4 linked regions of the Yarrowia lipolytica genome follow. The protein of the gene in region 1 purifies or fractionates together with the protein of each later gene. This does not show direct contact. Links are inferred from orthologs where the notes say so. Each region holds a gene or a part of one and is shown on either strand. Other genes may lie near its edges. The genes, in order: YALI1_B20521g, YALI1_E16451g, YALI1_E05664g and YALI1_F24401g.

What was found.
Region 2: the proteins of YALI1_B20521g (region 1) and YALI1_E16451g purify together in Saccharomyces cerevisiae (affinity purification with mass spectrometry; 3 studies listed by BioGRID). This does not show direct contact. The link is inferred for Yarrowia lipolytica from reciprocal best matches to the Saccharomyces cerevisiae genes PRP43 and CBF5.
Region 3: the proteins of YALI1_B20521g (region 1) and YALI1_E05664g purify together in Saccharomyces cerevisiae (affinity purification with mass spectrometry, with the first as the bait; 3 studies listed by BioGRID). This does not show direct contact. The link is inferred for Yarrowia lipolytica from reciprocal best matches to the Saccharomyces cerevisiae genes PRP43 and PRP46.
Region 4: the proteins of YALI1_B20521g (region 1) and YALI1_F24401g purify together in Saccharomyces cerevisiae (affinity purification with mass spectrometry, with the first as the bait; 3 studies listed by BioGRID). This does not show direct contact. The link is inferred for Yarrowia lipolytica from reciprocal best matches to the Saccharomyces cerevisiae genes PRP43 and CLF1.

Annotation. Positions count from the first base shown.
Region 1 is NC_090771.1:2,048,365-2,054,655, forward strand, and holds YALI1_B20521g (uncharacterized protein), read right to left. Parts: upstream 3,768-6,291; coding exon 1,572-3,767; downstream 1-1,571. Other genes in the region: YALI1_B20462g (uncharacterized protein), read left to right, coding at 1-122; YALI1_B20493g (uncharacterized protein), read right to left, coding at 421-1,005; YALI1_B20527g (uncharacterized protein), read left to right, coding at 4,344-4,489, 4,542-6,171. UniProt on the Saccharomyces cerevisiae protein: Pre-mRNA processing factor involved in disassembly of spliceosomes after the release of mature mRNA.
Region 2 is NC_090774.1:1,641,970-1,647,562, reverse strand, and holds YALI1_E16451g (uncharacterized protein), read right to left. Parts: upstream 2,437-5,593; coding exon 979-2,436; downstream 1-978. Other genes in the region: YALI1_E16433g (uncharacterized protein), read left to right, coding at 4,256-5,593. UniProt on the Saccharomyces cerevisiae protein: Catalytic subunit of H/ACA small nucleolar ribonucleoprotein (H/ACA snoRNP) complex, which catalyzes pseudouridylation of rRNA. This involves the isomerization of uridine such that the ribose is subsequently attached to C5, instead of the normal N1.
Region 3 is NC_090774.1:563,719-568,912, forward strand, and holds YALI1_E05664g (uncharacterized protein), read right to left. Parts: upstream 2,695-5,194; coding exon 1,369-2,694; downstream 1-1,368. Other genes in the region: YALI1_E05645g (uncharacterized protein), read right to left, coding at 1-830; YALI1_E05668g (uncharacterized protein), read left to right, coding at 3,126-4,022; YALI1_E05681g (uncharacterized protein), read left to right, coding at 4,432-5,194. UniProt on the Saccharomyces cerevisiae protein: Involved in pre-mRNA splicing. May also be required for cell cycle progression at G2/M.
Region 4 is NC_090775.1:2,436,623-2,442,605, reverse strand, and holds YALI1_F24401g (uncharacterized protein), read left to right. Parts: upstream 1-2,496; coding exon 2,497-4,527; downstream 4,528-5,983. Other genes in the region: YALI1_F24469g (uncharacterized protein), read left to right, coding at 1-511; YALI1_F24413g (uncharacterized protein), read right to left, coding at 597-1,244; YALI1_F24408g (uncharacterized protein), read left to right, coding at 1,732-2,025; YALI1_F24359g (uncharacterized protein), read right to left, coding at 4,862-5,983. UniProt on the Saccharomyces cerevisiae protein: Involved in pre-mRNA splicing and cell cycle progression. Required for the spliceosome assembly by promoting the functional integration of the U4/U6.U5 tri-snRNP particle into the U1-, U2-dependent pre-spliceosome.

The sequences.
Region 1 (6,291 bases):
AGGCCCAGCGAGACTACTTCGGCGCCCACACCTACCAGCTCCTCGATGGTGATGGAAAGTGGATCCACACCAACTGGACCGGCCGAGGTGGTGAGGTTTCTTCTTCCACTTACGATGCTTAAGTAGTTTTTAGTGTTGTAAAATGAAATGAGTATGGTTATGTTTGACTACTTGTCGTTAGCACTGTACAGTACAATAGCTAGTACAGTATGTAGTGCGTTACCTATATGAGAATTGCAAGGTGCAGAATGAACGTTGATACTGTACTAATTAGTAACTTGGGGATATCTGGAGGAATATGTATACTCCTCGTTTGTGGTGCTATATCTACCCGATGTCTATCGCTATCAGTACATGCGAGTGCGCGCTGCGCTCATGTCTTGAGAATACATATTGAATAAATAAACGGAAATCCCCCATCTAACTCTCGTCCCAGTTCTCTCTGTCATGAGCCTCCTTCATGGCTTCTCCTACCGCCTGCAATTTAATGAACGATTGCTCAACGTTATGGTTCACCTGCTCGAAGTGTTCAGGGTTGAAAAGTGTTCGCTTAATAGTGTCGATATCGCCTGCCTCTGCGATCTCATACTTGTCCATTCGCTTATCGATGTTAGATAGAGCACGTGCAAGATTGATTTGTGTCTGTCGCAGCTGGTTCACTGCATCTGAGTGGGCCTTGCCGAAGAAACCCTTGTCGGACTGTGTGAGTTGAGAGATGCGTTGCACCTCGTTCAGAATGTCAATTTCGGCCCACAACTTGTCATGAGTGTCCACACGTCGCCTTCCACTGCTTCCAGCAGAATACCTCGCATCAGGAGCCTCTGCATCTGAATCTTCCGCGGCCTCTGAGTCTTCCCCTCGAAGGGAAGGTACCCGTAGCCCTGAGCTTCGACTGTTGCCTCGAGAGAACTGGATGCGAGTATTCCCAGAGCCTGCGTTGTTGGACGATGTCCCTTGCGCCGTGGAAGACGTCTGAGGCGTTTCTGGCGTGATATTAATGTTCATTATGGCGTGAGTTGAAGATGAGAAAGTTGAGCAGTGAAGGTGAGACAAATGAGACTGGCTGTATGTTGGAAGTTTAATGATGGTGAACGTGTTTTGGTAGCTAATTACTGTACACACATTGTATTGTTAACTACAACCATGGTACCACTGTATAGTAGTTGAAGGAAAAACTCCGGAGAGTGTCTTGCAGGGTAGTAATCAACGTGGTAGTAACGCATTTCGGATCACTATTCTGAATGCTGATGCTCGCATTTTATGTGCTACTAGTGAGCCTTAATAATCAACTAATCAGTTAGGGAAATAGTCAAATTAGTGCAAGTTTTGTTAAATAATCAGTTAAGCCATTCATAATGCATAATGCATTATGTGATTATAAAATAAACAAAAATCTAACACCTAAAATGCTCTCAACGACGACCATGTGGAACAGCCAAGCCCGAGTTCCCCAATAAATTTACAACGTCCGGGCCCACAATCACATGCTTACGAGCCCGCAGTCAAAATCTATATCTATCGATTACCATTATACATTATTTTGTCCTCCACTTGCGTGTTAGCGCCACCGTCTATTTCTTCGCCTCCAGCTTCTTGTACACTCGCTCGAGAGACATCTTGATGTCGCCCTTTCGGAAGGTGTCCAGATCGTAGTAGACAGGAGCAATCTCCAATAGCCACTCCGGTCGAATGCCAGTGACGGTTCGAATGTAGTTCTTAGTGGTTAGAACGAACTCGTTATAAATCACCCACTCGGAGTCCTGGCCAAGCACCGAAGAGGGGTGGATCAACACGTCCTGGTTGTCCTTAACGGTGGTGTAAGAGTTCTTGCCTCCCTGAGAACTCTTCTTGGCCACTTGCATGAAGTATCCGGCAGTAAGAGCCTTTCTGATGTTAGTGTAGTAGTTTCGGTCCTCGTAGGGAGTGGACATGAGCTCCAGTCCATTCTTCTCCATCAGTCGCTTGAGCTGAGCTCGCACGTTGTCGGCAGACTGCAGAGATCGCAGAGACAGATAGTTCTGGTAGCACCATTCGTTGGGGTCAGCCTGGGCTTCGTCAGATCTGTATGCGTGGTAGACGTTCAGCAAAGTTAGATGGTCACCGTCGGGATGAGCAAAGCTGTTCTTGGCCTCGTCGGCAGCCTTTCGGTCGTTGTTGGGTCGAACAAACACGTTGGGCACGGACAGAAGAGCAGTCAAAGACAGAATCTCGTTGGAGCAGTAGTAGTCAGGTGAGGAGATGAGCATTACGGCCAGCATGGGGTCCAGGGGGAACTCGGAAGCAAGTCGACCGAGCTCGGTGAGGTTTCCATCGTCGTCAAGACAAGTCAAGTAGTTGAGTTCTTCCAGAGCTCGCATCATAGTTTCGGGAGCAGGGGGATCCATGAAGTCAAAGTGAACGAGATCGTCAATGCCCAGCTTCTTGAGCTCCAGAACAGTGCTGGCAAGATTGGATCGCAGAATCTCGGGGTAGGATTGCTCGTTGAGTTCCTTCTTGAAGGCATCCTCGGTGTAGAGTCGGAAACACTTACCAGGTCGGGTTCGGCCAGCTCGGCCAGCTCGCTGCTGGGCAGACGCCTTTGAGATGGGAGCCACAAGCAGAGACTCAACTCGGATTCGAGGGTTGTACACCTTCTGCTTGGAGAAGCCGGTGTCGACGACGTATACAATACCGTCAATGGTAAGCGAAGTTTCAGCAATGTTGGTGGAGACAATAACCTTTCGTCCTCCAGGAGGAGCGTCGTCGAAAATCTTCTGCTGTTGGTTGGGGGGCAGAGAGCCGTACAGGGGGTAGGCCTTAAGAGGACCACAGCCAGACTCACGGGTGAGCTCGTCGGACTCGAGCTTGAGCTTTCGGCAAGCGTCTTCAATTTCCTCCTCACCGGTTAAGAATAGCAGAATATCTCCTTCGGGCTCGGTGGCATGGATCTGGAGAACAGTTCGAAGAGCACTCTCAAGGTAGTCTCGCTGAAACTCGGGAGTGTAGTAGATCTCGACGGGGTGGGTTCGACCGGGAACAGCCAGGAGAGGAGCGTCGTTGAAGTACGACTGAAACTTCTGGGCGTCCAGTGTGGCGGACATGACAATGATCTTAAGATCGGGCCGTCGGACAGCTACTTGCTTGATCAGACCCATGAGGATATCTGTAGCCAGAGTACGTTCGTGGGCCTCATCGAGAATAATGCATGAGTATCTAGACAGGTTGTGGTCGTGCATGGCCTCTCGCAGAAGCATACCATCAGTCATGTACTTGAGAAGAGTCTTGGGGCTGGTCTTATCCTCGAATCGAATGGAGTAACCAACTTCCTCGCCAAGTCTCACATCCATCTCATCAGCCACACGCTTGGCAACAGACATGGCTGCAACTCGACGGGGCTGCGTACAGGCAACCATCTTACCTTGCAGCTGAGGGAGATCATCAAACAACACAAACTGAGGGATCTGGGTAGTCTTACCAGATCCAGTCTCACCAACGAACACCATGATCTGAGTAGAGTGGAAGGTATCGAGGAACTGTTGTCGCTGAACATGGACGGGCAAGTCTCGTCGGACCTTAAGGATATCGAAATACTTTGTCGACAGCTCCTTTCCGTTGAACATGTTGTTAGGTCCATCTTCGTGCTTCATGCCTTCATCGGCTGTGGTCTGGAGTCGGGTCAGTCCAGACGCCAACTCAACGAGGGTGTTGTCGGGAACATACTCCTCAACCTCATAGTCTTCGACGATTTCCTCTTCGTCAGTCTTGGGCTTTTTGCTCACGGGTTCCATTGTAACTGTTGGTTTATCGTTCGTCAATGAATATGATGAGTATGGGTGGGAATACAACAGTTCAAATAGCCCTATGCAGGATTTCTGAATTTTTTAAAAAGAGTTCGAACCTTATATGGTTCATATCATAGTGGCGACAAGATGACACGGAGGATAGACGACCGAAAGAGGGATGAAGAGAGACGAACATTACCAGGAGGTATTAAACATGCAAAATATGTCATACGCTAACTCTCCTTTTTGCTCTATTCAGTTTCCCCAAATGAAACCAACTCGTTATACTTGCTCAAGCGTGTCTTACTAATCACCTATACTGGTCATGGTGGTTGACATCCGAAGATAGTCCCACTGATACAATGTTACGGAGTGTGATCGTACATGAAGAATGAAAGGCGTTGTCTCTCTTCTGTCTCTGAAGCCGCCACTCTAAGTTGTGTGCAACTGATGGAGTTGAGCCGCTCACAAATATCGCCCTCTCCGATTATCAAATCTCGTTACTCCCAGTTCAACCCTAACCACAGCTCCCAAGATCAGCCTACAACATCATCTTGGAGACTGCAACTTGATCAAACAAAAATGCGCAATTACGAACTGGTGGGCTTGGGCCGTTCGGTCGCCAACATTTCCAAAAAGGCTTGGGATATCCAGAAGCAATCCATTCATGACCACCTCGAGGGCTCGTCCATTGTGAGCGGTCTCAAGGGTTGTGTAGTGAGCTCAGTGTGAGTATCGAAATATATGACAGACACGCTTTTTGAACGATTGCTAACACAGATGCCCACCTGCTCCACTTTCGACTGCCAATGGAACCATTCCTAGAGATCCTCCTGCCCAGACAGGACCCACGGGCCTGACTCCTGGTGTGCCCAATGGTCCGTTGGGATCAGGGTCTAGCTCAGCCAAGATGGTCTTTGATCCCTTCAACAACAAGCGACCCACAATCAACGGCAACTCCGTGGATCCTTCCACCAAGCGAATGTATTCGTCGTCCTCCGACAAGGGACCTTCCATTGGCGAAGAGATCATTGGAGCGGAGGTGCCCAAAGATCGGATCATTGGAGAGAAGGAAATCAGAGAAGAAATGATGTCTTCTGCTGTGCCCTCCGGTCGATTCGAGCGACTCTTCCACTACGGCACTTTGGCCACTGGTCTCGGTGTTGGTGCTCTGGGTGAAGGTTTCCGACGTCTCACCGGAGACAACTCTCACGCCGGATCTCTGGTGCTTACCCCCGGCAATGTGGAACGTCTCGTCAAGTCGCTGTCTCAGATGCGAGGAGCTGCCCTCAAGATTGGCCAGCAGCTATCCTTCCAGGACTCTCGAGTCTTCCCGCCTGAGATTCAGCAGATCTTCTCTCGAGTCCAGAACAGTGCCAACTACATGCCCGCCGAGCAGCTCCACAAGGTGCTTACCAAGGAGCTCGGCCAAGGATGGAGAAACGAATTCTTTTCTTCCTTTGAGGACAAGCCCATTGCCGCTGCTTCTATTGGCCAGGTTAACACCGCTGTTCTGCGAGACTCTTACGAGCCCGTCGCCATCAAGATTCAATACCCAGGCGTGGCTGACTCCATTGACTCCGATCTTAACAACCTGATGATTCTCATGACTGCCTCCAGCATGCTGCCCGAGGGTCTATTCCTTGACAAGACTGTTGCTAACGCTCGAGTAGAGCTCAAATGGGAGTGTGACTACATCCGGGAGGCACAGAACCTGGAGCGATTCCAGGAGCTCCTGGCCGACTACCCCGACTACGTTGTTCCCAAGGTCTATCATGAGGCTTCCACCGACAAGGTGCTGACCATGCAGAGACTTCGAGGCCAAGATATCGTAAAGGGTCCCTGGGATCAGGACACGAAGAACTGGATTGCTACCCGAATAATGGAGCTGTGTTTGCTGGAGATTGCGAAGTTCAAATTCATGCAGACCGACCCCAACTGGGCCAACTTCCTGTACAACCCCAAGACCCATAAGTTGGAACTTCTCGACTTCGGTGCCTCTCGAGGCTACTCCGACCAGTTCATTAACGACTACCTCAACTGCTTGCGAGCAGCCGTTCGAAAGGATCGAGCTTCTTGTGAAAAGTACTCTCTTGAACTCGGATACCTTACTGGTCTCGAGTCGAAAGCAATGCTCAATGCCCACATCGACTCCATGATCACTCTTGGTGAGCCTTTTAACGGCGAGAACGGAGGGGGAGACTTCAACTTTGCCAACCAGACTGTCACCGATCGAGTTCGAGAGAACATTGGTGTCATGCTCAAGGAACGACTGACCCCTCCTCCTGAAGAGACTTACGGTCTGCACCGAAAGCTTTCCGGTGCTTTCCTTCTGTGTGCCAAGCTCAATGCCGAGGTTCCTTGCCAGAAACTGTTTGAGGACATTGTTGGCCTTGATGACCAATCTTAGCTAATGTAAATAGACTAAATTAACCATGATGTAAAAATATGTGTGAGGAAAATTAGTACTTCGGGTGCTACAGTTGTACTGTTGTACTTGCGATAATTTGTTCTGTACGGTGAGCGTGTT
Region 2 (5,593 bases), on another chromosome or scaffold:
ATTGTGCTTTACGGTACGAGTACGAGTAGTGTAGTTATGAGAACTTTTTTCATCGACTTTACATCTCCTACAGAACTGAGGTCAAGAAGATGGGTTGGTTAGAGTGGGAAATAGAGGTTCATCTTCAGGTGGTGGTCGTGGACGCATCTTCAGGTCGTAGAGACATCTTAACATCACGAAGATACAGTAGTTATTGCTGGTACGCACCTGTACCGATACTAGAAGCCTGTGCTCTGAGCTCGTCCAAGTGGGCTGTGAACATGCCTCCGGAGAGGGAGCTTGGGTGACAATTACTGTTACAGCCGAGCCAGTTGACCAAGTAGCCTCCGTACTTACCAACGTTGTCTCATTTGATCAGGGAGGCGACGCAGGTGTTGCGAATCCATCGGGTGTGCTCCTCGAGCGACAACGCTGGTCGGAAGCCATGTCGCCACAGCGCTTGAAGTTTTTCACATGGCTGAAGTTCTTCAGGCTGACGGTCAAGGGAAATGCCACGCTCATCCAGAGCTTGGAGCCACTCGGGGTCGATATCCGGGTAGCCCGATAGATGGTCAATCTGAGTACGTAAGTTGGATGGAACGAAGAAGCCTTTGACCAGCTTCTTGGCCCAGGTTGGTTGGCCATAACTTCTCTGTTGTTTACACTGCCATGCTCTCCGTGAAACCGCCTTCTGTTAACAGTTGGGTATTCAATCAGACGGTATTCAAGGGGTGTCACATCATCAACTGTACGCATACTCGCAGTCAACTTTCTCAACATGATTTTTTCGTCCACATACCACCTCTTGTCTCTGTAGGCCTCATACCGCGTGATGAGCCTAGCTTCAATACAGAACCAGAATCCATACAAATCTTAGCCATCTTCTACTGCCACTCTTCTTTAGTATTCACACTGACAATCTACCCTTCCACTCTTCAGTCCAAGCCACTTTGCACCTTTTTGTCGGAACCAAATAATAACATAATTTACATGCAGACACTAATCCTTGCTCTTCTTCTTCTTCTTCTTCTTCTCGCCCTCGTCGTCGGAGTCCTCGGCCTTTCGCTTCTTCTCCTTCTTCTCCTTCTTTTCCTTCTTTTCCTTCTTGTCCTTCTTGTCCTTCTTTTCCTTCTTCTTCTCCTTCTTGTCCTCCTCCTCATCGTCAGAGTCGGCGGCCATGGAGACATCAGCCTCGACCTCCTTCTTGGGGGCCTCGACAGCAATGGTCTCGGTCACAGAAGCGACAACGGGCTTGGTGACGGGCTCGTCCTCAGTGTGGTCCACGTAGCTCTTCTTCCAATCGGCAGGAGTGCTCTCGTTGGGTCGACCGTACTTGTCGAGCTTACCGTCGGCCTTGAGCTTCTTCTTCTCGGTAGCAACGGGTCCCAATCCCCATCGTCGGGGGTAGGTGTCTCGCTCCATGATGCATCGCTTGATTCGAGACACGACACCGTGGTCGCAGGAAGCAAGGTCGACGGTGGTCATCTGGGCAATACCAAGAGCAATGGCCTCACCCTTGGTGGTGATGAGCACAATCTCGTCCTCCAGCTCAATGCCCTCCTCGTATCGGAGAACACCGGGAAGCATGAGCTTGGCGCCGTAACAGATGGAGTTGACGGCGGAGTCCTTGACTACAATTCGCTTGTAGCCGAGCAGCAGAGACTCAAGGGGTCGGATGCATCGTCGCAGGTACGACTCGTCCTTGGTGTTGTCGTAGAGCCACTGGGCATCGAGAATGTCGTGCAAGGTGACCATTCCGTCGGACTCGTCGAGAGCACCGGATCGCACTCGTCGCAGCTCCTGCATGTGGCCTCCAACACCGAGCAGCATACCCAGATGCACACACAGGGTTCGCATGTAGGTACCGGCCTCACAGGAGGCCCAGAAGACACCGAGGTGTCGGTCGTTGTCAAACTCAAGCAGCTTGGAGTCGTAGATGGTTCGGACTCGCAGCTGTCGCTTGACGGCGGAAATGAGAGGAGGTCGCTGGAACAGGGCTCCAGTGAGGTTCTCGAGGCCACGGGCCATCTCCTTCTCGTCCTCAAGAGCATCGTGGAGTCGCACGATACACACGTACTCCTTTCCGGCTCCCTGCTGGGACTTGACCAGACGGGTGGCTCGGTCGATGCACACAATCAGACATCCAGTAACCTTGGGATCCAGAGTACCAGAGTGACCGGTCTTCTCGCATCGCAGGATTCGCTTGATCCAGGCAACAACCTCATGGGAAGAGGGGTTGGAGGGCTTGTCGAGGTTGATGACACCGGAAGCAATGTACGACTTGAGGTCTCGCTTCAGAGGAGAACATCCGGTGGGGATGGGGGTGTAGTGACCGGACCGCACAAGCAGCTTGTCGTAGTTCTTGAGCAAAAGGGGCCACTCAGAGGTGTCGGCCGAGGGGCCAACATTCTCGGGCTTGATGAGATAGTCGGTTTGTTCCTGAACAACAGCAGACATGTCGATAGTGTTGCTAGGTCGATATGTAGGAGAAGCTCTCAATGTGAGTTTCAATTTTTTTTTCACTGCGCAGAATTTTTGTACTTTGGGTTTGGATTAGGGGAGCGGCCAGGATTGGGACGAGTCCTTCTGCATTAGGGTATGGGGTTAGGGTGGCGGTTAGGGTACCGGGGAGATATATTCTGGTCATTCACTTGACAAGGTGGTTTGTGGGTGTGTGACGTGGGTTTGGAGGTGTTTTGGCCGGTATTTTGATGCTCGATCTACGTTTATTGTACTTATATCGCCACAAATCAGTGACTGCGTTGCGTGAGCTAGATTGTAGGCATATAGGCAATTGGAGTGTCGTATGGAGTGTGACAACATAAACAGTACAAATACAGGTATATATAGGTACGTGGTCATGGCAGCATCTCCATGGCCCGGATGTTCAAACCCCGGCCACACTTTGCTGACACTCACTGAAAGGGCTCATGGCTGGGTTGCCCATCACTTCAAGACTGCTCTGAACTTAAGGTTCTAGGATGCGTCAAGATGGTGAATGGTGGGTGAAGGGGGAGTCAGTTCAGGTGCTCTTACGAGGTATTTATCGACGAAGGGTGAGTAAGGTCACGTATTATATCACCAGTTCGAGTTATATGCTCGTATCTCGATTATTAAGCGACTGAGGAGAGTGTTGTGGCATTTGGCAACTGGACAAGTTTGTGAGGATTCGTACTTACAGTAGAAGCGGTATGGGAGCTGAGAGGTGAATGGAAGGGGTCCAGAAGAGACCATTTTTGTATGACAATGGGGGGCGAAGAAGACATAGATAGGAAGTATACGTGACCAACAACAACTAGCATACGAGATTTATATCACACCTTTGTCAAAAATGGCCGGTTTAGGTGTCTACTAGTCCATCCCGGGGAACAGGCAGTGATCACCAAAGATAAACGAGACAAAAAATAGTGAAAAAGATGCCGAAAGCAGCTAAATCGAAGCTCCTATGCGAGCCCATCAATTTGATATATTGAAAGTGCCATTTTTTTCATTTTCTTCTTCGTAACAATGCTTCATGGACTGACGAAGGAGTATGTACAGTATGTAGTGTACGAGAGGACATTCAGAGTCTGACTGGACATGGAGTCCAGTGACTATAATATAGCAGACAGATCTACACGGAGGAAAAAAAAGGGGATACAACGGAGACCTGGAGATATCCCCAAGGACTAGCACTTCGCCTTTGGCCATGTTACAGGTGATTTCTCAATGGGGTCTGATACAATACAAGATCATCAAAGTGAGAGGCATACATCTCCCTAATAGAAGTGTCTCGATACAACAGGAACGGGATCGGAACTAGTAGTCACACCATACCACAACCTACAAGACTGTACGTACAGCAGCTGAATGACTAATTGCTGTACTCCACAGTTGTCTTTCTCCACGTACATGCCATCATACATACACATGATGTCTCTCTCGGAACATGTCTTCTTGTATCCGGTCCAAGTCAGGATGACAGAAGTGAAATTTCACCCAAGAAAATACAGTGCTCGTACAAGTAGGCCATTATTATATACAGTGGGCTCGCGGCAAGACAAGACATGGTATATTACTAAGCAAAAGGACTCGGTAGTGTGCGTATCCTACTCCTCGTACAGATTATTCATACGGTCGGACTCCGATCGCCTACTCCTACCCTTTCTACCTGCATTTGGTCCACCGCTCAACTGCATCTCCAGTGCCGTTCGTGCAACTAAATCTTAGAGTTTGATCCGGATACAAGTATCGGCTAACACCTCTCTTTCTCCACATCTCCTCTCTTCACACAATCATGACCGTCGACCAATACCCCGCCAAGGCCCACGCCCTCAAGGCCGCGCAACACCTCAAAGCTTCCGGAGCTTCCGACGACGCTCTGTGGTACATTGAAGCTGCCAAAACCACCCTGTGGCCCCATTCGGACCAGACCGTGCCTCTCAGACAGCACCGGTACTTTTACTATCTGACGGGCTACGAGGCCCCCGACGCCATTGTCACCTACTCCGCCAAGGACGACAAGATCACTCTTTACATTCCCGAGATTGACGACGAGGAGGTCATGTGGTCCGGCCTGCCGCTGTCTCCCGAACAGATCCGAGCCGTGTCTGACGTGGACGAAATCAAGTACATGAACCACCTGGAGAGCGACCTCAAGGGCAAGAAGCTCATCAGTGTCGAGACCTACGACAAGCGAGACGCCGTGACCATGTCTCAGCCTTTGCTGGACGCGCTGGACGAGGCTCGAGCCATTAAGGACTCACACGAGCTCGCTCTCATGCGACACGCCTCCGAGATCACCGACAACTCGCATCTAGCCGTCATGTCTGCTCTTCCCATTGAGAAGAACGAGGGCCATATCCATGCCGAGTTTATCTACCACTCCATCCGACAGGGCTCCAAGAACCAGTCCTACGATCCCATCTGTTGTGCTGGTACTTCTGCTGGCACCCTGCACTACGTCAAGAACGACCTGCCCCTCGACGACAAGCTGCTGGTGCTGATTGACGCTGGTGCCGAGTGGAAGAACTACGCCTCTGACGTGACTCGTTGCTTCCCCATCTCCGGAGAGTGGACCAAGGAGTGCCGAGACATCTACGAGGCTGTGCTGGACATCCAGAATCACTGCATTGAGAAGATCAAACCCGGCGTAAACTACGAGGATCTGCACCGAGACGCCCACAGAATTCTCATTCGACATCTGATGCGACTCGGTATCTTCACCAACGGAACGGAGGACGAGATCTTTGACTCCCGAGTCTCCTGCGGCTTCTTCCCCCACGGACTCGGCCACATGCTTGGTATGGACACCCACGACACCGCCGGCCGACCCAACTACGAGGACAAGGACCCCATGTACCGATACCTGCGTCTTCGACGAACCCTGGAGGAGAACATGGTGCTGACCGTCGAGCCCGGCTGCTACTTCAACAAGTACCTACTAGACCACTTCATCCAGCCCGAGCAGGAGAAGTTTCTGGACCGAGCCGTGCTGGACAAGTACTGGAAGGTTGGCGGAGTGCGAATCGAGGACGACATTCTCGTCACCAAGGACGGCTACGAGAACTTCACCAAGATGACCAAGGACCCCGAGGAGGTGGCCAAGATTGTCAAGGACGGCATCGCTAAGGGC
Region 3 (5,194 bases), on another chromosome or scaffold:
AGGAGACACAGGTTTCGGCACCATGTTCTCTGCTTTCTGCCGTCAATCTCGAAGAAACTGACTGCCTCATCTCGATAGATTTCGTTCCCAGGAGGATGTCTCAGAGTGGATTTGGATCTGAACCGCTCAAACTGCTTCTTGGACCCGAAATAACACAGGGTAAAGTCGCAAATGTAGATTTCATCTTCTTCGGTCAGCTCGATAGGATAGGGAGAAAAGTACCACGGTTCGATGACATGATTGCCTAGAACAATTCTCTGTAAATTTCGAACTCGAGCCACCTCATGACTGCTCTGTGTCATACTTCCTCCAGTTCTGAGCTTCTCAATCTCCTCGTCACGGTTGAAATTGTCGGGGTCCTGGGTGGTGCCGTTAACCTGGAGGTTGTCCAGGTCCATGACATCTTCCGAATTGGCTCCAGGAGTAGTTGCAGCCGAATCTGTGAGCTTCTGCTTCTTGGAGGGGTTCTTCTTCTTCTCCTTGCTGCTCTCCTTTGCAGCACCACTGAGAGGCTTCTTGGGCTTCTCTGGCTCGGGCCAAATGACACCCTGTGACAAGTCGACTCGAGTAGCCGCAATACGCTCATCCAGACGCTTGTTGAACTCGACGTAGTGCACATAGAACTCGAGGTTACCACGTCTCATTTGCACGCTGAGAATTTCAGCAACTCGGTCCTCACCGTCTTTCTCGACGTGGACTTTGCAGCCCACACGGAGCTCGTTGATTGCCACGTTCATGTCGACCTTCTGAACGGGCGCAGGAGTCTCCTCGGACCCCGAGGCTTTGCCGTTGGTTTTGCCGTTGGGCAAGTCTGCTTCTGCGAGAGCCATCTTTGGAGGTGTTGTGAGCGACAGTAAACTGCCTGGGTGTTATATAGCTTCGTCGCGCTATTGCTCGTTGATGTTCGGGTGGCGACAAAATTTTGATAAACTGAAAATAGTTATGGTCACGTGATGTTGGGAGATGAGTACAGCCACCTTAATAGAGACAGGAATGTGCCAGTTACTGTAGGGGGGAATTTACGAAATATCGTCTTGTTATATGATATTATTCAGTTATTAAATCTGCGATTATATTGGTGAAACACACATATATCCAACTGTACAAGTACAATGTACATGTAGTTGTTATTTCATTTTTATTTGGAGACCATCCATTTTTATGTTTCCGGAAAAAAATGAAAATTGTATAAGTATGGTTCTGGAATTGGGTCCATATACTGTGCCTGTATTGGTACCACTGGCCTACAAGTAGAGCGAAGGCTGAAAAGGAGGGAAAGCAAAACAAAAGAATGACAACGCCAACCAATACAATTGTACTTGTAACTAAAAATACATTAAATATGCGAAATTCTGATACACCATCCCTCTAATAGGTCTGGTATATCTTGGGTTTCCATTCGAGACCGGGATCACTTTCTGCTGTGGCATTGGGCTTCTCGCGCCACATTTTGATGCTCTTGTCAGCCTCACAGGTGATGAGGCGAAGACCAGTCTTGTCGAAACTGGAGTCGAAAATACCGTTTTCACTCTCGATAGATCCTGGGATGGGAATAGACTGGGTGCTCTGGAACATATGTCCAGTCTTCCAGTCATAAAAGCCAATAGAGCCGTTGTCGCCTCCCGAAAACATGACGTTGTCTTGGTTAACGGACAGGGTATTGATGATAGCGTTCTGGTCGTCGTAGTTGAGCACTAGATCGCCCTCGGGACACTTCCATTGCTTACTGGAGTTAGCAGAGGCCGTGGAGAAAGTGAACTCCTCGGGATGTAAAGTGAGGCCTCGCACACTCTTCTTGTGATGCGTGAGCGTTGTCATGGTCTTCCCGGCCTGTAGGTTCCACAGTCGCACAGTCTCATCTGCCGAAGCTGTAATCACCTGGGGTTCAGAGGCCTGGAACTTGACTCTGTTGATAGTCGACTTGTGTCCACTGAGAACAACCACAGGGTCACGAGTACGAATGTCCCACACACGGGCCACAGCGTCTCGACCAGCAGACACTAGGACATCCAGAGTAGGATGAATGTCCAGCGAGTAGACTGCAGAGAGATGGCCATGGTAGTGTCGAACGACCTTGTTAGTTTCCAGATCCCAACACTTGACCATCTTGTCTTCACCTCCCGAAAACATGTAAGGATGTCGTGGCGACACTCCCAATGCTCTAACACCCATAATGTGTCCTGTGAGAGTCAGTCGCAATTTTCCTGTAGCCAGATCCCAGATCTTGATAGTCTTGTCTGCAGAACCTGTAGCAAACCACTGGTTCTCTGGTTCAACACAAACAGATCTCACCCAGCCCTGATGGCCTGTAATGACTCTGTAGATCTCCCATGGTGCGTGCCACGCCGGTTTCGACTGTGTAAGGTTGGCTCCGAGATTAGTGAGACTGTCGTGTGTAGTTGGTTGGCTTGCAGAGGGCGTGTGTTTCGTGAGTGCCGAGGAAGAAGCTCCCATCAGAGCCTTCTGGCCGCTCTGAGATCCTCCTGCGATTCGCTGGACTGCCACACCTCCTGTGGCTTCCACTGCCAAACCCTTCTCTGCCATTTTGGCAGCCACCTGCTTTGCTAGGTATGGTGGAAGTTCGAGGTTCTGGAACTCCCTGAGTTTTTGAGCACGTCGGATATTTCGAGAGGGTTCATTTTCGCCGGTCGCGAGAGTACCATACTCTGGAAACAGGTCTTTGGCGACAGGCATGTGTGGATTACAAGTTCCTTGTAGTCTCTGATTATGACGGCTGAAATGTTCATGCAAGTTATTCAGATAGCCTTGTACAGGTTATGAGTGGTGTGAGCAGGGGAACAAGTTGGAAACTGGATAAACGAAATATGATTGGCCAGATTCAACTCTGCTTCAAAAATGAAACAATTCTTCTTTCACACTCCAGATATTACTCCCCCTGAGCCTCGTTTTCGGTTACTGTAACCCTCCCCTAATTATCGTTGTGCTCTTGAACTGGGAGGCGTCCACATAAACTTTTACACCATTTCCTCTTTCTCCCCACCGCAACCATGTCCAACAGATTATTGGGAGTCCTTACAAGTGAGTATTGAAAGGCTGGAAAGGGAAGATGAGTCCATACATAAGTTCAATGTGCCATTGCGAATATCCTGACACCAAACAATGGCATGTTTGCCAACTTGGCGTGGGGGTGCCGCACCGCACATCCACAGCAACACGCAATCTCGAGACCCCATACTAACCCAGCCATCGCCATTCCTGTCGGTGTTGGCATCACCTTGATGCAGTCCGCCATGTACGACGTTCGTGGTGGCTACCGAGCTGTCATCTTCGACCGTCTTGCCGGTGTCAAGCAGAACGTGATCGGAGAGGGAACCCACTTCCTCGTTCCCTGGCTCCAGAAGGACATTATCTTCGATGTCCGAACCAAGCCCCGAAACATCGCCACCACCACCGGATCCAAGGATCTGCAGATGGTTTCTCTGACCCTGCGAGTTCTGCACCGACCCGTCATTTCCCAGCTTCCCCACATCTACCAGTCTCTTGGTCTCGACTACGACGAGCGAGTCCTGCCCTCCATTGGTAACGAGGTGCTCAAGTCTATTGTCGCTCAATTCGATGCCGCCGAGCTCATTACCCAGCGAGAGGTTGTTTCCGCCCGAATTCGAGAGGATCTTGTCAAGCGAGCCGGTGAGTTCAACATTGCCCTCGAGGATGTCTCCATTACCCACATGACCTTCGGAAAGGAGTTCACCAAGGCCGTTGAGCAGAAGCAAATTGCCCAGCAGGATGCCGAGCGAGCCCGATTCATCGTCGAGAAGGCCGAGCAGGAGCGACAAGCCGCCGTTATCCGAGCTGAGGGAGAAGCCGAGTCCGCCGAGGCCATTTCCAAGGCTCTTGAGAAGGCCGGTGATGGTCTGCTCTTGATTCGACGAATCGAGGCCTCCAAGGAGATTGCCACCACTCTTGCCCAGTCCAACAACGTCACTTACCTGCCCAAGGGAGGCAACGGATCCAATGGCGCTTCCTCTGGCAACTCTCTTCTTCTCAACGTCGGAAGATAATTGTATATAGATATTTTGTAACTAAACTTGACACACTGAATGATAGGTTTTGATGATTTCGATGCAAGTACAAGTAGCGCCACTGGTACTCGTAGTGTAGCGATAGCGTGTCCAGATGTTGGTTATAATATTTGTGGTCGTGGAACACCAGACTTTATGAAGTGCATTCGTACCATAAAGCTACAACTATGAAAGAATATTAATAATAATTGGGAGCCTGACAAAAGAGTCCCTTTGCAATATAGGAATATTGACTCTACGATACTCCTGTCTCTTGTACCGTTTGTTGTGTTGTCCACATTGTCCACCCCAGCTGCTTCACTCACTCACACCATGAAAGTTCGAAAATGCAGGACAGGAATAATTATTTCTGGGTGTCGTCTGGGAGTCTGACACAACACCATACGTCATGTTATCGGTATATGCTGACCAGCACCGGGAGGCGCCGTTCCCGAAAAAGGCATACAAAGCTGAGCTTCAAAAAACTACGGAAAACGCAGGACTAGGCCTACAGGTGTCCGAATTCCTGAGCGAGGCTGAGATCATCCACTCGCTCTATTACCGGTACCGAAATGCCCACCATTGCGCCGAATGGTTCAGGCCTTTCTCGATGTTACATCGACGGGTATCCCAGGTTGCAAACTGGATTGTTGACTTGCACAAAGCCACCAAGAAGCGTGCTCCTCGACTGATCACTGCTATCAAGATATCGATCCAGAAGATCCAGACCAGGTACCTCCAGCCTGCCTTTTGGAGCTTCTACAGCGTCCTGGCTCTAGGACAATACGTCACAGTTGGATTTGCATTGCTAGGAACCGTGGCAAGGATTGCCAGCCTTTTAGCACAAGTTCACCCGATACCCAGGACAGTAGGAAAGGTACTCGATGCAGCTGTTAAAAAGGGAGCTGAGGTCATGTCCGATGATATCGGTGAGGTTCTAGTTAGGGTCACATCTGAGAAGCCTGCAAAATCTGACAAGATCAAGAAGATGACCAAAAGCACAGTTACTAAGACTACCACGGGAGGAAAGAAGCTGCTTAAGAACATGGACATCGACGATATCTTCTCGACCAAGAAGAAGACCAAGAAAAACATAGAGAAGCCTAGGGTTGTTGAAGAGAATGTTGAAGAAAGTATTATCACAAATGATGATATTGAGGATAATTCTATGC
Region 4 (5,983 bases), on another chromosome or scaffold:
TGAGATTGAGCTCGAGTCCTTGTTCATTGCACTGCGTGCTATTGTTATGCGGTTCTCTGCCACTCATCTGGTTCCCATTTGGCCTCTGGTTGCCCACAACCTGCAGGTTATATTCGAGGGTCTGCTGCAAGGTAAGGAGACGGATAACCGAATCGTGATGAGTGCCTGTAAGCTGCTCGATCTTGTGCTGGTGCTTAACCAGGAGGATTTCCAGCTGGATCAATGGCTGTTTGTCACCGATTCCAGTGATGCTATTTACGGACACCCTTACGGTATTCTGGATCAGTTGGCTGAGTCTACGCCTGTCAGCAGTGATGATCTTCATCTGGAGGAGACTTCCAAGCGACGGCCTTTGCTTTTTGGACAGAAGATTGGTTCTCTTACCTCTCTTGCACAGCTAAAGCCTTTCTTTGACCGGCTCTCCATTTACAACTACGAAAGTGTTTACGCTCTCAAGGAGACTGATCAGGAGGCTTGTGAGCTGGATCTCTTGGCCGATATCCAGGAGTAAAGATGATATATTATACTAAATAGATTAATGAATGAATGATATGTATGCGTGTGAAAAAATGTAATTAATATGCAATGATGGTCTACTACTTCAGCTCGAATCTGTAGACACTTAGAAGTTCCCTGCCTTCTTTTCTTTCAACAATGCGCGTCACGATCCATCCCAGTTCCCTCATTTTGACAGCCACTTGTTCTGGCTTGTTGCTTGCACAGAACAAAATGTAGGCGATTCCGTTCTTTGACAGTATGGTCTTCAGTTCTAGTAGCACCTTCCAAGTCACCTGCATTCCGTCTTCACCTCCAAGAAGTGCCCAATCGACCCAGTCACCATCTGTCTCCGGGTAGGGTTCTACGGGCTTGTCGTCTGGCACATATGGAGGGTTGAAGACCAGTAGATCGATGGTATGAGGTCTCATCATTGTGGTACGTTCTCCACGAAGCGCCTCGAGGTACTGGGTGCCGTTGTTTTCTTTTGACGTGGCCAGAACCTGGTTGCATGCAAAGGGGCTGATATCTGTAGCCAAAAAAACGCCTTTGGGCACCACGGATTTCAGCATGAAGGTGGTGACGATGCCTGATCCGGTTCCGATCTCTGTCACCACAGGGTATGACAGATGGCTGTTGATGTAGCTCTGTTCCATTTCCAGCACGTCCAGGAGCATGAAGGAGTCTTCGCTGGGCTCGTAGACCTCTTCATAGTTGGCTGATGACGTGGAAGGTGTTGGAAACGACATTTCTGGGTGGTGTCTAGACTACGATATTCTTTGGTGGTTGTGCATGCCAAAATATATATTCGCATGCAACTTAAACTCGTTCCAGCTGCAACTCAACCTCAACCACTATACAAGCCACGCAACATGAAGATCAAGATCAAGGTGAGTATGATTTGGGGAGACCGCGGGGTACATGATTGGGGACTCGAAAGAACTCATTGTGCGCATCCTCCCCGCAGATTCGTGCTTGCGGTGCGCTAACTTGGAAATGCTAACACAGACACTCATTGGAAAGGAGGTGAGTCCTGAACCACGATATACACCCAGCAGTAACATTCCTAGATGAAATGACATTTGGAACACTGTTGCGGCCAGTGTGTGACGACGAAGCTAACACAGATTGAGATGGACGTTGAGCCCGAAGATCAGGTGAGTATGAAGAGATGGAGGGACTGGGGGGACTGTTGCGAAGTGGTCACGCGTGCGTGCCACGATGAAGTTGGCATGAATGAGACACGATAAGGGGAAAAAGTCATGGGAAAGTGCTGTTCTCTATCACGATCCTACAAATGCAAGGTTCACTTACGGACCTGTTCGCACCTATCCCGTCACCACTCAAACAGGACTAACTCAGATCTCCGTTCTCAAGGAGAAGATCGAGGAACTCGAGGGTATTCCTCCCGCCCAGCAGCGTCTCGTTTTCACCGGAAAGCAGCTCCAGGACGAGAAGACCATTGCGGAGAACAAGATTGAAGCTGGAGCCTCTCTGCATCTGGTCCTGGCCCTTCGAGGCGGCAACTAATGTATTGATAATTGACTGATTAGAGGATGTGGGATGGGGCAGCGTGAACTACGTGCTACTGGATGAACATATGTGGAATTAGGTATAGATGTGAATAGGTAGTAGCTACTTGTAATACTTGTAGTCTTTTTGGTTGCCATACAACTAGCTACTGTAGCTACAGTATGTTCTGTAAGTACGTAGTTACATACAATACTTGTTCCTGTATTGTGGCGCCAGTATCGATATAAAGATAGAATAGACCGACAAAACAGACGGGAAAACAAATGTATCTCTTAGCATTAGGTGTTGGAGGTAGTACTTGTCTATATGTCTATATATACTGATTTCCACAAGTCAAGATGCGTTCACACTGTTCCGCTCATCTCATGTTGACTCGACGAAGCTTAGTTATCACTGCAAATAAAACCTTCGCAGAATCATCACCAAAAAATATTGACGCCATATACGACCTCGAAACACCACACCGGTATGGAAGGAAGGGTGAAAAACAAAGCGCCCGCCGCGTTGCAGATTTCTGCAGAGCAGATTTTGCTGGAGGCATATGAGCGAAAGGAGACGCCTCTTCAGCAGACAGAGCAGATTGCCGATCTGGAAGAGCTGGCAGAGTACCAAGGCCGCAAACGACAGGAGTATGAGGGAGCCTTGCGACGAAATCGACTGAACACCGGCCAGTGGATGCGGTACGCGCAGTGGGAGCTGGAGCAACGGGAGTTTGCACGTGCCAGATCTGTATTTGAACGAGCTCTCGAGGTCAACCCAACGCATGTGCCCACCTGGATCCGATACATTCAGTGCGAGCTCAAGGAGAAGAACATCAACCACGCACGAAACCTGCTGGACAGAGCCGTCACACTCCTGCCGCGTGTCGACAAGCTGTGGTTCACATACGTGGCTACAGAGGAGACGCTGGGCAACATTGCCGGCTGCAGAGCCGTGTTTGAGAGATGGATGCATTGGAGGCCGCCGGTGACCGCCTGGGCAGCTTACGTGAACATGGAGAAGCGATATCGTGAGTTTGACCGTGCGCGGGGCATTCTGAGACGATATGTCACTGTTCATCCAGGTGCACCAGCATGGAACAAATGGGCCAAGTTTGAGATGGAGGCAGGAAACAGAGACACCGTCAGGGAGGTGTATGCTCTGGGAATCGACACATTGGTGGAAATGGCGCATGGAGGCGTGGACTTTCTGGATGAGAGTCTGCTGGCTGGATGGGCGAGTTTTGAGACTCGTCATAGGGAGTACGAAAGAGCAAGAGCTCTGTACACTTATGGACTCGAGAAGCTGCCCAAAAGCAAGTCTGCAAAGCTGTATGCTGACTACACGGCCTTTGAGAAACAGTATGGAGCCAAGGAGGGTATTGAGAATGTGGTTCTCACTAAAAGACGATCCAAGTACGAGGATCAGTTGAAGGAGGACCCTGCAGACTACGATACGTGGTTCTCTTACATCACTCTAGGTCAGGAAAGTGGTCTTGAGGCCGATCAGATTCGTGAGATCTTTGAACGTGCTGTTTCTAACGTTCCCCCACATTCCAAGCGTCTTTGGAGACGGTACATCTTTCTGTGGATCAAGTATGCCATCTGGGAGGAGCTTGAGAACAAGGAGGTTGAAAAGGCCGGTGAAATCTACAAAACATGCATATCTATCATCCCACACAAAAAGTTCACATTCGCCAAAGTGTGGTTACTATGGGCCAAGTTTGAGATTCGACATGGCAATCTGCCAGAGGCTCGTAAGATCCTAGGCCGAGGACTGGGCATGTCGGGGGGCAAACCTGCGCTGTACAAGGGATACATTGCTCTGGAGGCCAAACTGCGTGAGTTTGACCGGTGTCGAAAGCTCTACGACAAGTATGTGGAGAAATTTGCCGAGTTTGCTGCTCCGTGGATGGAGTATGCGGAGCTGGAGCAGATGCTTGGTGACGAGGAGCGAGCTCGTGCTATTTTTGAGCTAGCTGTGTCGCAGCCCGAGATGGAGATGCCTGAACTTGTGTGGAAACGGTTTATTGAGTTCGAGGCTGAAGAGGAGAACTACGACCGAGCACGAGCCATCTACCGACAGCTTCTTGATCGAACCCACGGTCACATCAAGGTGTGGATCTCGTTTGCCCAGTTTGAGGTCACTGTTCCTGCTGAAGACCAGGAGCTGCAATACAACGACGAGGGAGAGGCCGAGATTGAGGTCACTGAAGAAGCAAAGGCACGCGCACGAAGTATCTTTGGCGAGGCCTGGGACGCTCTCAAGGCCGCCAACAAGCGAGAGGAGCGAGTGGTTCTGTTTGAATCATGGCGTGAGTTTGAAGAGGAGCATGGAGATGACAAGTCTAAGGCGGATTTGGACAAGCGAAAGCCCACTCCTGTCAAGAAGAAGCGAAAGCTGGAGGATGGCACCTTCGAGGAGTACATCGACTACGTCTTCCCCACCGACGAGGAGGACAAGTCGTTCTCCAAGCTCCTGGAGAATGCTCGAAAATGGAAGCTTCAGAATCAGTCTTGACTGTGGGAGCCAACTATGTATTTATCTGTATATGTATAATAGAATCGTTGTATAACACTAGCTGCGATCCCTTATTCATGTTACTCCACCCTGCGCCACTATCACCAAGCTATCACCAAGCTACAAGTACAGCATTGTGTGTACAGGATGTACCAAAGACACTCGCTCTTCAGAATTACTGCTAAATAAGGTTTGAAAAGATTGCAGTAAAATATATATATATATTATAATATAAAAAACTTATCAAAATTTTTTGTACAAAATACAAGCCTACGGACAAAATGATATACGAGTCTAAGATCCAAATCCATTAGTATACATGTTAGTAGTTTTTTTATTTTGGGGGCCCGATAACTCCGGGAGGAGGAGGCGGGGGATGACGAATGGGCTGGTCTCCATCCATTCCAGGCACCCCAGGAGGAGGAGGGGGAGGAGGAACTTTAGAAAGACCAGGAGGTCCGGGAGGCACAGACATGCCGGGCACACCAGCAGGAGCGCCACCGTAACCACCAAAGCCAGAAGACGACATACCAGGGGGCCCGATGGGAGACTGGTTGTTATTAAACATAGACTGGTGGTGCACGGGGGGCTGGTGCTGATGCTGGTGCTGACGGGTGTCGCGATTCCACGGCGACTGCTGCATCGACTGCTGAACAGATACCTTGTCGTGCTTTTTGTAGTTGTCACGTCGCAGCCACGGGGGAGCAGCAGGCTGCGAGGGAGGTGTGGGTCTGTGCCAAGGAGGGAGTTCGGGCGACGAGTTGGACGAGTTGTTAAAGTTGCGGTCGTATCGGTCATAGTTGTTTCCGTTAGTGTTGTGCATGTTTTGCTGGTGGCTCTGCTGTTGGGGCTCTCGCTGGTTGGACTGGTTGAAGCCGCCTCGGTCAAATCTATCAAACGACCCTCCTCTCTCGCTCATGGGCTTTCGCATATTGATGGGAGCAGCGTTGGAGCCAGTCACAGCAGGGGGCAACTTGGACACGTTGTTAGTGTTGGGGTTCTGAGCAATGGACTGCTGCTGAGAGGCAGTGTCAATGACTCCTTCTCCCTGGAGCTCTCGCATCAGAGCGTCGTACTCTCTGTCGGCATTCTCAGACGTGCCAGCGTTGGTGCCCTTCTCGAGACAGTCCCGGGCGAAATGCCCCTTGGAGCCGCAAATATGGCAAACAATAGACGACATGAAGTTGTTTCGTCGCTTGTTGCGGTCGTCCATCTCGTCTCCAGAAGACGACTGGGGAGCGCCACCGTAGTTTTCGTCATCTCGAAGAGTACCGTTGAGAGCAGCCAGTTCTCGCAGCTGAGACCTCTTGAGCTCGTTCTGGCCCTCAGGAACACTAGCAGCAGTATCGATGACCTGCTGGACCAGCTGGACTGCCCGAGCAATCTTCTCTTCGTCCTCTGAGATGATCAGACAGTGAAGGTCATCCTCGGCAGTGGACTGGAAGGGGATGTCTGT